2 linked regions of the Callithrix jacchus genome follow. The protein of the gene in region 1 purifies or fractionates together with the protein of each later gene. This does not show direct contact. Links are inferred from orthologs where the notes say so. Each region holds a gene or a part of one and is shown in the gene's direction. Other genes may lie near its edges.

What was found.
Region 2: the proteins of PLCG1 (region 1) and RASA1 purify together in Homo sapiens (affinity purification with western blotting; 3 studies listed by BioGRID and IntAct, with this or other methods). This does not show direct contact. The link is inferred for Callithrix jacchus from reciprocal best matches to the Homo sapiens genes PLCG1 and RASA1.

Annotation. Positions count from the first base shown.
Region 1 is NC_133506.1:36,482,049-36,485,648, forward strand, and holds the start of PLCG1 (1-phosphatidylinositol 4,5-bisphosphate phosphodiesterase gamma-1), read left to right. Parts: upstream 1-1,084; 5' UTR 1,085-1,149; intron 1,150-1,632; 5' UTR 1,633-1,745; coding exon 1,746-1,962; intron 1,963-3,600. UniProt on the Homo sapiens protein: Mediates the production of the second messenger molecules diacylglycerol (DAG) and inositol 1,4,5-trisphosphate (IP3). Plays an important role in the regulation of intracellular signaling cascades.
Region 2 is NC_133503.1:123,500,116-123,504,138, reverse strand, and holds part of RASA1 (ras GTPase-activating protein 1), read left to right. Parts: exon of another isoform or gene 1-1,175; coding exon 1,176-1,348; intron 1,349-1,629; coding exon 1,630-1,789; intron 1,790-2,868; coding exon 2,869-3,011; intron 3,012-3,281; exon of another isoform or gene 3,282-3,358; intron 3,359-4,023. UniProt on the Homo sapiens protein: Inhibitory regulator of the Ras-cyclic AMP pathway. Stimulates the GTPase of normal but not oncogenic Ras p21; this stimulation may be further increased in the presence of NCK1.

The DNA of each region.
Region 1 (3,600 bases):
TCAAGAATGGCTTCAGAAAGACAGAGTACGAATTATTCCATAACCAGAAAAAGGCCTTGTGGCTGGAGACTGGAGAGTGAAGGGTCACCTGTGAGAGATGAAACCGATCCTATAGAACCTGCTGGGCCAAGCAGGGAGTGTGGATTTTAGGTGCAATGGGAATTCATGGAGGGTTTTAGGCTGGATGTAGCAGACCATGATTTAATTTCATTTAAAAATTTTAAAGCATGGAGAATAGATCCAGGCAAGACCAAACAGAATAAATAGTCTGGGTGACAGGAGATAGGGCCTTCAGCTTGTGGGTTGAGTGAACAAGTCATGATGGATTGGAGGTGAGGGAGAGAGATGAATCAAAGTTATCTGCAAGGTTTTTGGCCTTGCAACGTAGAGGGGTTTAGCACCACGTTCTGATAAAGTGAAGACTATGGAAGGAACCTTTAGGGAGGGAAGGTCAGTCGCCTAAGCGGGGATGTGGAACGTAGGGGAGCCACAGGTTTGAAGTCATCGGTGCCTTTGTGGTGGGTAAAGTCAGGGGAAAGGTCAGGTAGCCTTGGGATCTGACCTAGCACTGAGTACAGAGGAACAGAAGCTTCTGAGATCGATGGGCAGCGGCCACAGGAAGGGAAAGCAAGGCGGGGAAAATAAAAGTTCAGGAGAGCATTTGCAGGAGGGACGCTGTGAGGTAGGGTCTGAGCCCGCGCCCCGGATCGGACCCAAGTCCTGCTCGTGGGGACTGAGCGTGAGTGGGGCGAGCAGCGGCCCATGCGAGGGACAGACACCAAGGCCCTGGGAGCTGCAGGTCAGGCCGCTTAACAGCGCGGCCGCGGACCTAAAGGCCCTACAAGAGGTGCTCACGCTTGGGGGGAACTCTCTGAACGAGAGGACCATTGAAGGACACCCTGGCAGCAGAGACGAAACAGACAGACGTGGGGTCAGGTCGTCGCAAGAGCGGCCTGCGGGCCAGCCCCGCACTACCAGGGGGAGGGGGCGGGACAGGCTGGCTGTCCATCAGTGCCCGCGGCCAATCCGCAGGCGGCCCCGCCCCCGCCCCTCCCAGGAGAGGGCGCGCGGAGGACCCGCCGCCGCCGCCGCCGCCGCCGCGGGTGTGAGCGGCCCGGCCTGTCTCCCTTCGCTAGGAAGCCCGCCCAGGTAACTGGGTTTGGCCAGGCATGCCCGGGGAGTGCGTCACCCCCTCACGTCCCGTCCCGGTCGCTGCATGGGCGGTGTTCGGGACGCGGGGGTTGCGTCTGTGCAGAACCGCGGGCTGGCGGCCGCCCGTGCGAGTGCGCCTGACTGACGCGCCGACCGCGGGGCCTGCGGCCTGTGGGCGGGGCTGCCGTGCGTGACGGGGTCGGTCGTGGCCGCCGAGCTGTGTCCCGGGCCGCGTGAGGAAGCCCTGCGGGACTGAGGGCTGGGTGGGTCGACCGGGAACGGCGCGCGCTCCCGTCGCCATCGTGCCCCCGTCCCTGCCTGCGGCCTGTCTGGGGGTCCCGGAGCGCAGGCGCGGCGGGCCGGCGGGCGGGGGTCCTCCCCACGGGTGCGCGGGCGCCTTTGTTCCCGGCGGCTAGCCGGGCGGAGCCTCAGGGCCGCCCCGCCCCGCCGCGCTCAGGCCCCGCCCCTGTCCGCCTGCAGGAGCTGCCGCCGGGTCCCGCTCGTCGGCTGCCTCAGCCTCTGCCCCAACCTCTGCTGCCGCCTGCTCCCGGGCCGTCCCGGCCTGCGCCGCTGCCGCCCCCAGCGTCAGAGCCATGGCGGGCGCCGCGTCCCCCTGCGCCAACGGCTGCGGGCCCAGCGCGCCCTCGGACGCCGAGGTGCTGCACCTCTGCCGCAGCCTCGAGGTGGGCACCGTCATGACTTTGTTCTACTCTAAGAAGTCGCAGCGACCCGAGCGGAAGACCTTCCAGGTCAAGCTGGAGACGCGCCAGATCACGTGGAGCCGGGGCGTCGACAAGATCGAGGGGGCCAGTAAGTGCGCCCCCTTCCCGCCTGGGCCCGCCGCGAGCGGAGGTGGTAGGGGCCGGGCCCGTCTGTCCGCGCTCGGGTCGGCCGCCCGGGAGACTTGGGCAAACTTTCCGGCTCTCATCCACTCCCTCCGGGCCCCGCCCCCGCTTCGTCTCGGGTGGTCACTGGGGGCGGGGGGCATCCGGGTCCTCGGTCACCTGACAGGACACCCCCTCTCCCAGCTGGGGGGAGTGTTCCAGGCACTTTGTCCTGAGGCCTAAAAATCCTCGGGGGCTGGAGACCCGCGGTGCCGACGTCAGGTCCCCCAACCACTGGGAGTGGTGGCGGCGTCGGCGAGGGGAGCCAAGGCAGCGGCCCCCACCCAGCCGGGGAACTTGGGGCCTGACCAGACAGTCCCCGTCCACCACTCTTTCTCCAGAAAGAGCAGTCTGTGAAACTGGGCCCCCAGGCTGGGCTGTTATTTGCAAAGGAACTTTTGGGTTTCCTAAGTAGAACTTAGGCAGATGTTGGGGGAAGGGCTGGTCTTGGAGCAGAGCCCGGCCTACTCATCTCCCTCTGGGGGAGAGGGAGGAAGGTGGTCTTGTTTGGTTTGGAGAAACCTGAGAGAAGGCAGTGGCTGGTTTATTGTTATTGTTATTGTTATTGTTATTTGCTGCTACTTTTGTCCCAAAGCTGAGTTTTGGAGGCCTGTGTGGGTGGGCAGACACCCAAAGCCAGAGCAGGGACTCCCCTTGCCCTGGGAAGCACATTCCCAGGAGATGAGCCCCGTAAAGGCCTGCCCCAGTGCCTTGGAGTCAGGTACTCTTCTCAAGAGTGCAGCCAGTTTGGAGTCTAGCCCTTTGTCCTCTGTCCGGTGGCATCAGGGAGCTGGAGCTCTTGGTTTCCTGCCTTTTCGCCTTCCCAGGCCTGAGCTTGGCTGCTTTAGCGCTGGCCTCTAGTGGGAGGAGGGAATTGGGGGATTGTGAAAAACCCCAGATTTTTCAGAGTTGTTCCACTTATCGTGTGCCTGTGCTGTGGCCAGAGGGGCACTCTGCTCAGCCCTCCATTCCCCCCCTGTCAGTGTGAAGAGATGATGTGTCTGCAACTCCAGACTGGGTTGCTTCTTGCAGGGACCCCTGGAGACTGGGGTTAGAGAGACCCAGGCTCAGAACCAGGTCTGTGTGAAGGAGGGGTTCAGGAAGTGACACTCCAAGGGGGGGGTCCCGCAAACCTTGGGTACGGTGTGCATGTGTGTAGATGGGCGAGGAGATTGGGAGGAAGGAAGGTCTTGTGGTGAGGCAGCCATCCTCGGCTACAAACTCCAAATCTGACACAGATCTAACACAGCTGCTCAACTTAGAAATGGCAGCCGCCTTCCTCAGTGCCCTCACTGACCCTGTCAGCCATTGGGAGAACATTTTAGTGACTTGAGAGCCCGTGGATTCCAAAGTGAAGGAAGGATAGATAACTGCAAAGAACTGAGTTAACTCTGGGAACATTACTCAGGCATCAGACTCCAGGCATAGTCCCTTTCCTTGCTCTCTCTGCTATGTTGAGTCGGTGGCCCTGGATGGAAGTTCTCTCAGATCTCCTGGGTAACTGACTGCATTTTAAACCATGCATATTATCAGCAGGCAAAAAATGTAGCACAGTGTTTGATGG
Region 2 (4,023 bases), on another chromosome or scaffold:
AATGAATAGGAAGAATAAGAAAATGATTACAGTGGTCGTTTTGAAGGGCTTACCCTCATCCCTTCTTTCTACTTTTTAGATTTTTCATGTTTTCTTTTGAGATGGCGTCTCACTCTTGTCACCCAGGCTGGAGTGCAGTGGCAGGAACTTGGCTCACTGCAACCTCTGCCTCTCACATTCAAGTGATTCTCCTGCCTCAGCCACCTGAGTAGCTAGGATCACAGGTGCCTGCCACCATGCCCAGCTAAATTTTGTACTTTTAGTAGAGATGGGGTTTCACCATGTTGGGCAGGCTGGTCTCGAACTCCATACCTCAGGTGATCCACCCACCTCGGCCTCCCAAAGTGCTAGTATTACATTAGCATATAAGCAAAAAAGAATTCTATTTAAAAATTACCCTTAACCTTGAATATGTCATTTATTCACTTCTGGTAGTCAAAGGCTCTCAGTTCCTGTTCTTAGCAGCACAACTCTTTCCATCCTGCTACTAAAACAGTTGGCAGTGGGATTTACCAATCACATCGGGGTGAATTAGGTTAATGCCTTCTTAAAACTCAGGCTTAGGGAAGGAAGTGATATGTATTAACAGACAGATCAAAGCCTAAATATTTCTCTATAAAATGTTTATTCTGTAATTTTTTTTGTACTAATTTTAGTTTTCCCTTTTACGATAAAATCCCAACCCCACAGTAATGACAAAGAAAGCAGGCCATGCCTTATATATAAAGTGTTCTTTTTTCACGACTTTTCTTCTTAGATATACCTCCAGATCTTGGCAGCTTAAGGGTTGCCTGTTTAAAATGGAGTTTTCACCGCCACAGGCTGAATTAGATATGGTTTCTCTGTATTCCAATAGCATTCACCACTGTTAACAGCACTTATCAATGCTGAAACATGACTGATTTCTTGCCATCTGGAATAAACTGACCCCCGTGCAACTTAAAGACCACATCTGAATCTTCTCTATACTTCCCCCACCTATCAGAGTTTAGTGCATGGTAGACATTCAATAAATGAATGAAGCAGTTAAATATTGAATTTGTGATGTTACTGAAAACTTTTTTAATGAAAAGAATTTAACACCATTGAGAAGACTGAACACCAGGAAAATTTACTTGCATGACTAATTATCATGTTATCTTTTTAGATAATAATTGCTTGTTTTTCTTCCCAAGTATTTATGCGTTGCCAGTTGAGCCGATTACAGAAAGGGCATGCCACAGATGAATGGTTTTTGCTCAGCTCCCATATACCATTAAAAGGTATTGAACCAGGGTCCCTGCGTGTTCGAGCACGATATTCTATGGAAAAAATCATGCCAGAAGAAGAGTACAGTGAATTTAAAGAGGTATTATTTGTCTAATTTTTGTTAGAATTAACATAAACATTTAATAAAAGATCCATTAAGCTAGACATAGTAATTCATAGCTTAGTGGCACAGTGACACCAGAGAAGATTAAAAACCTTGTATTATAGTGTGATTTTGATTAGACTAGAAATAGGTAGACTATGAATGTATTCTATTTTAAATAAATGTATTCAGTGGGGCATTTTAATTATTAAGAACTTATGAAAGAAAGAATGCTTAATGCTGTGTACTTTAAACCATCTTTTAAAATGTCATTTTAGCTTATACTGCAAAAGGAACTTCATGTAGTCTATGCTTTATCACATGTATGTGGACAAGACCGAACACTACTGGCCAGCATCCTACTGAGGATTTTTCTTCATGAAAAGCTTGAATCGTTGTTGTTATGCACACTAAATGACAGAGAAATAAGCATGGAAGGTATAGTATGGCTGTGTTAGTGTGAAACTTTAAGAAACTGGGTTTAGATTTTATATCACGCATATATGGACTCTATCTCTGAATATACTAAATTGTTAAAATGCAAATCAAGTTAATCTGTTTTCCCTTATTAAAAATTGCAGTTGGATGTTCTGCTTATGTCGGTTACTTTGGGGAGCTAATATTTCTAATGGAGGTTTTGGCAGATGAGTATTAGAAGCTCCAAGAAAGTGGTATCTGTGTCCACATCGATGGCTCATAGTGCTTGACTATCAAGAAAAGTCTGGCATACTTAACTATATTCTCTTACTTTTTACGTCATTGCACAGAAGTTGGGTGTCACCTGCCTTTTATTTCTAGCTTTTATAGATAGGTAGTTCCCAAGCTGATGGACACACAGTTTTTAATGACTTATAAATACATCGAAATAATTATCCTCTCCCTGCCCCTCCGACCAAGCACTTTGATTCAGTAACAGTTCTTGCTTCTAGATTCCCCAAATAGTAAAGTTTAGAACTATGTCCTCCTCATAAAAATTATAAAGGTATATAATTTGTCAAGGAATAGATAAAATGGTGGTCCTTATTTTACATTGAGTTTATCTTTTCTGACAGCATTTGTCGTTTATTAAAATTTTACTGCAACTCATCAGACATGTTTTAGGCTAATAAATGAATCTATATTGGGATTTTTTGTGTTATATTCGTAATTCTAAATAAATACCCAAATTTCAAAGCATGGGGTCCTTGGACAACACAGCTGATTTATGGTCCTAATTTTGTCACTAGCTAATTGATCTTAGACAAGTCACATAACCATTCTGAGTCTTCATTTTTCCATATAAACATGCAGTGTTAATCTCTTCTCCTGTTCATGATATGATGAGGTAATACATCTGAAAGTCTTACAGAGTTAAGTTGTAGAAGTATAGGATGTCATTGTAATTAGTACTTCAATGTTGCATGCAAAAAGTACATTTAAAAGGCTGTTCCTGTTGAGGTAAGATGAATTCACTTAATTTCCAATTTGGTCACATTGAGTCCTCAACAAATAATCTTCTAATGTAAATATTTGCATAGATGAAGCCACTACCCTATTTCGAGCCACAACACTTGCAAGCACCTTGATGGAGCAGTATATGAAAGCCACTGCTACACAGTTTGTTCATCATGCTTTGAAAGACTCTATTTTAAAGATAATGGAAAGCAAGCAGTCTTGTGAGGTAAGAATTTAATGTTTTAAGAAGTATTTTTTGCAAATAGGTAATAATTTAATAGGTAATTTGTAGCTCATTACATTTTAAGGAAAATATGTTAAATTTCTAAAATTATTCCTCATAGCAGTTATACCCTTTTGTAATACATTTATAAAAATGTTCTGCAAAATGAACTTTGAAAATACTTGGTCATTTCTTCTATTGTACTAACGACAAACTATATACTCCTTACAGAAAGTGTGCATACATAAACTGAAGGCTTTGCTAGTGACTTACATTATAACCTATGTAGCATTTCATAACATCTCGTTTTGTCCTTGAAGGTTTTTTTGTGAGAGGAGAATTGAGATAACCTCAACAAAAGCAAAAAAAAAAAACACCTTTTAGGATTATTAAAGCTTAAGTACAAACTCATAATAAACTATTAAGATAGTAAGTGGAATCTCACATGTATACCCTTTCATTTTAATGGTAAAGCGACTATAAAGAAATACATATTTTAGATTTGACACAAAAATCAATAAAGTAAGGAATTCATTTCTCACAGTGGACACTGGGATCTAGCAAATGTTAATCCTGCACAAAGATGTCAATTCATACTAATAACGTGAAGGGAAGAAATTAATGATTTAATGTTGGAAATCTGGAGTAATGCCATAGTTAGCCTAACATGAGGATGATACAGAAATGCAGCAAGTAGGTAGAGTCTCCAGACTTTAGAGACAGGCTACAGAATTTGGACTTCCATAGATAAATCTACTCTGCTGACACTTCTGAGAAAGGTTTGTGATTCTGCCTAAGACATTTGATACTTTTATTAGCCATTAAATAAGTCTCATTCAGAAAAGGCTTTTAATTGGCTTTTTCCCCCTCTAAATAAACATAATTGACTAATTACTGTTTGCTTTTCAGTTGGGTAATTGGGAATAAATGGTAAGAAACCTGCCAGAAGGAGTTTCATAGAGCAAACTACTTAAAAACCCCCATTTATACAAAGAAAAAAGATGAATACACACTG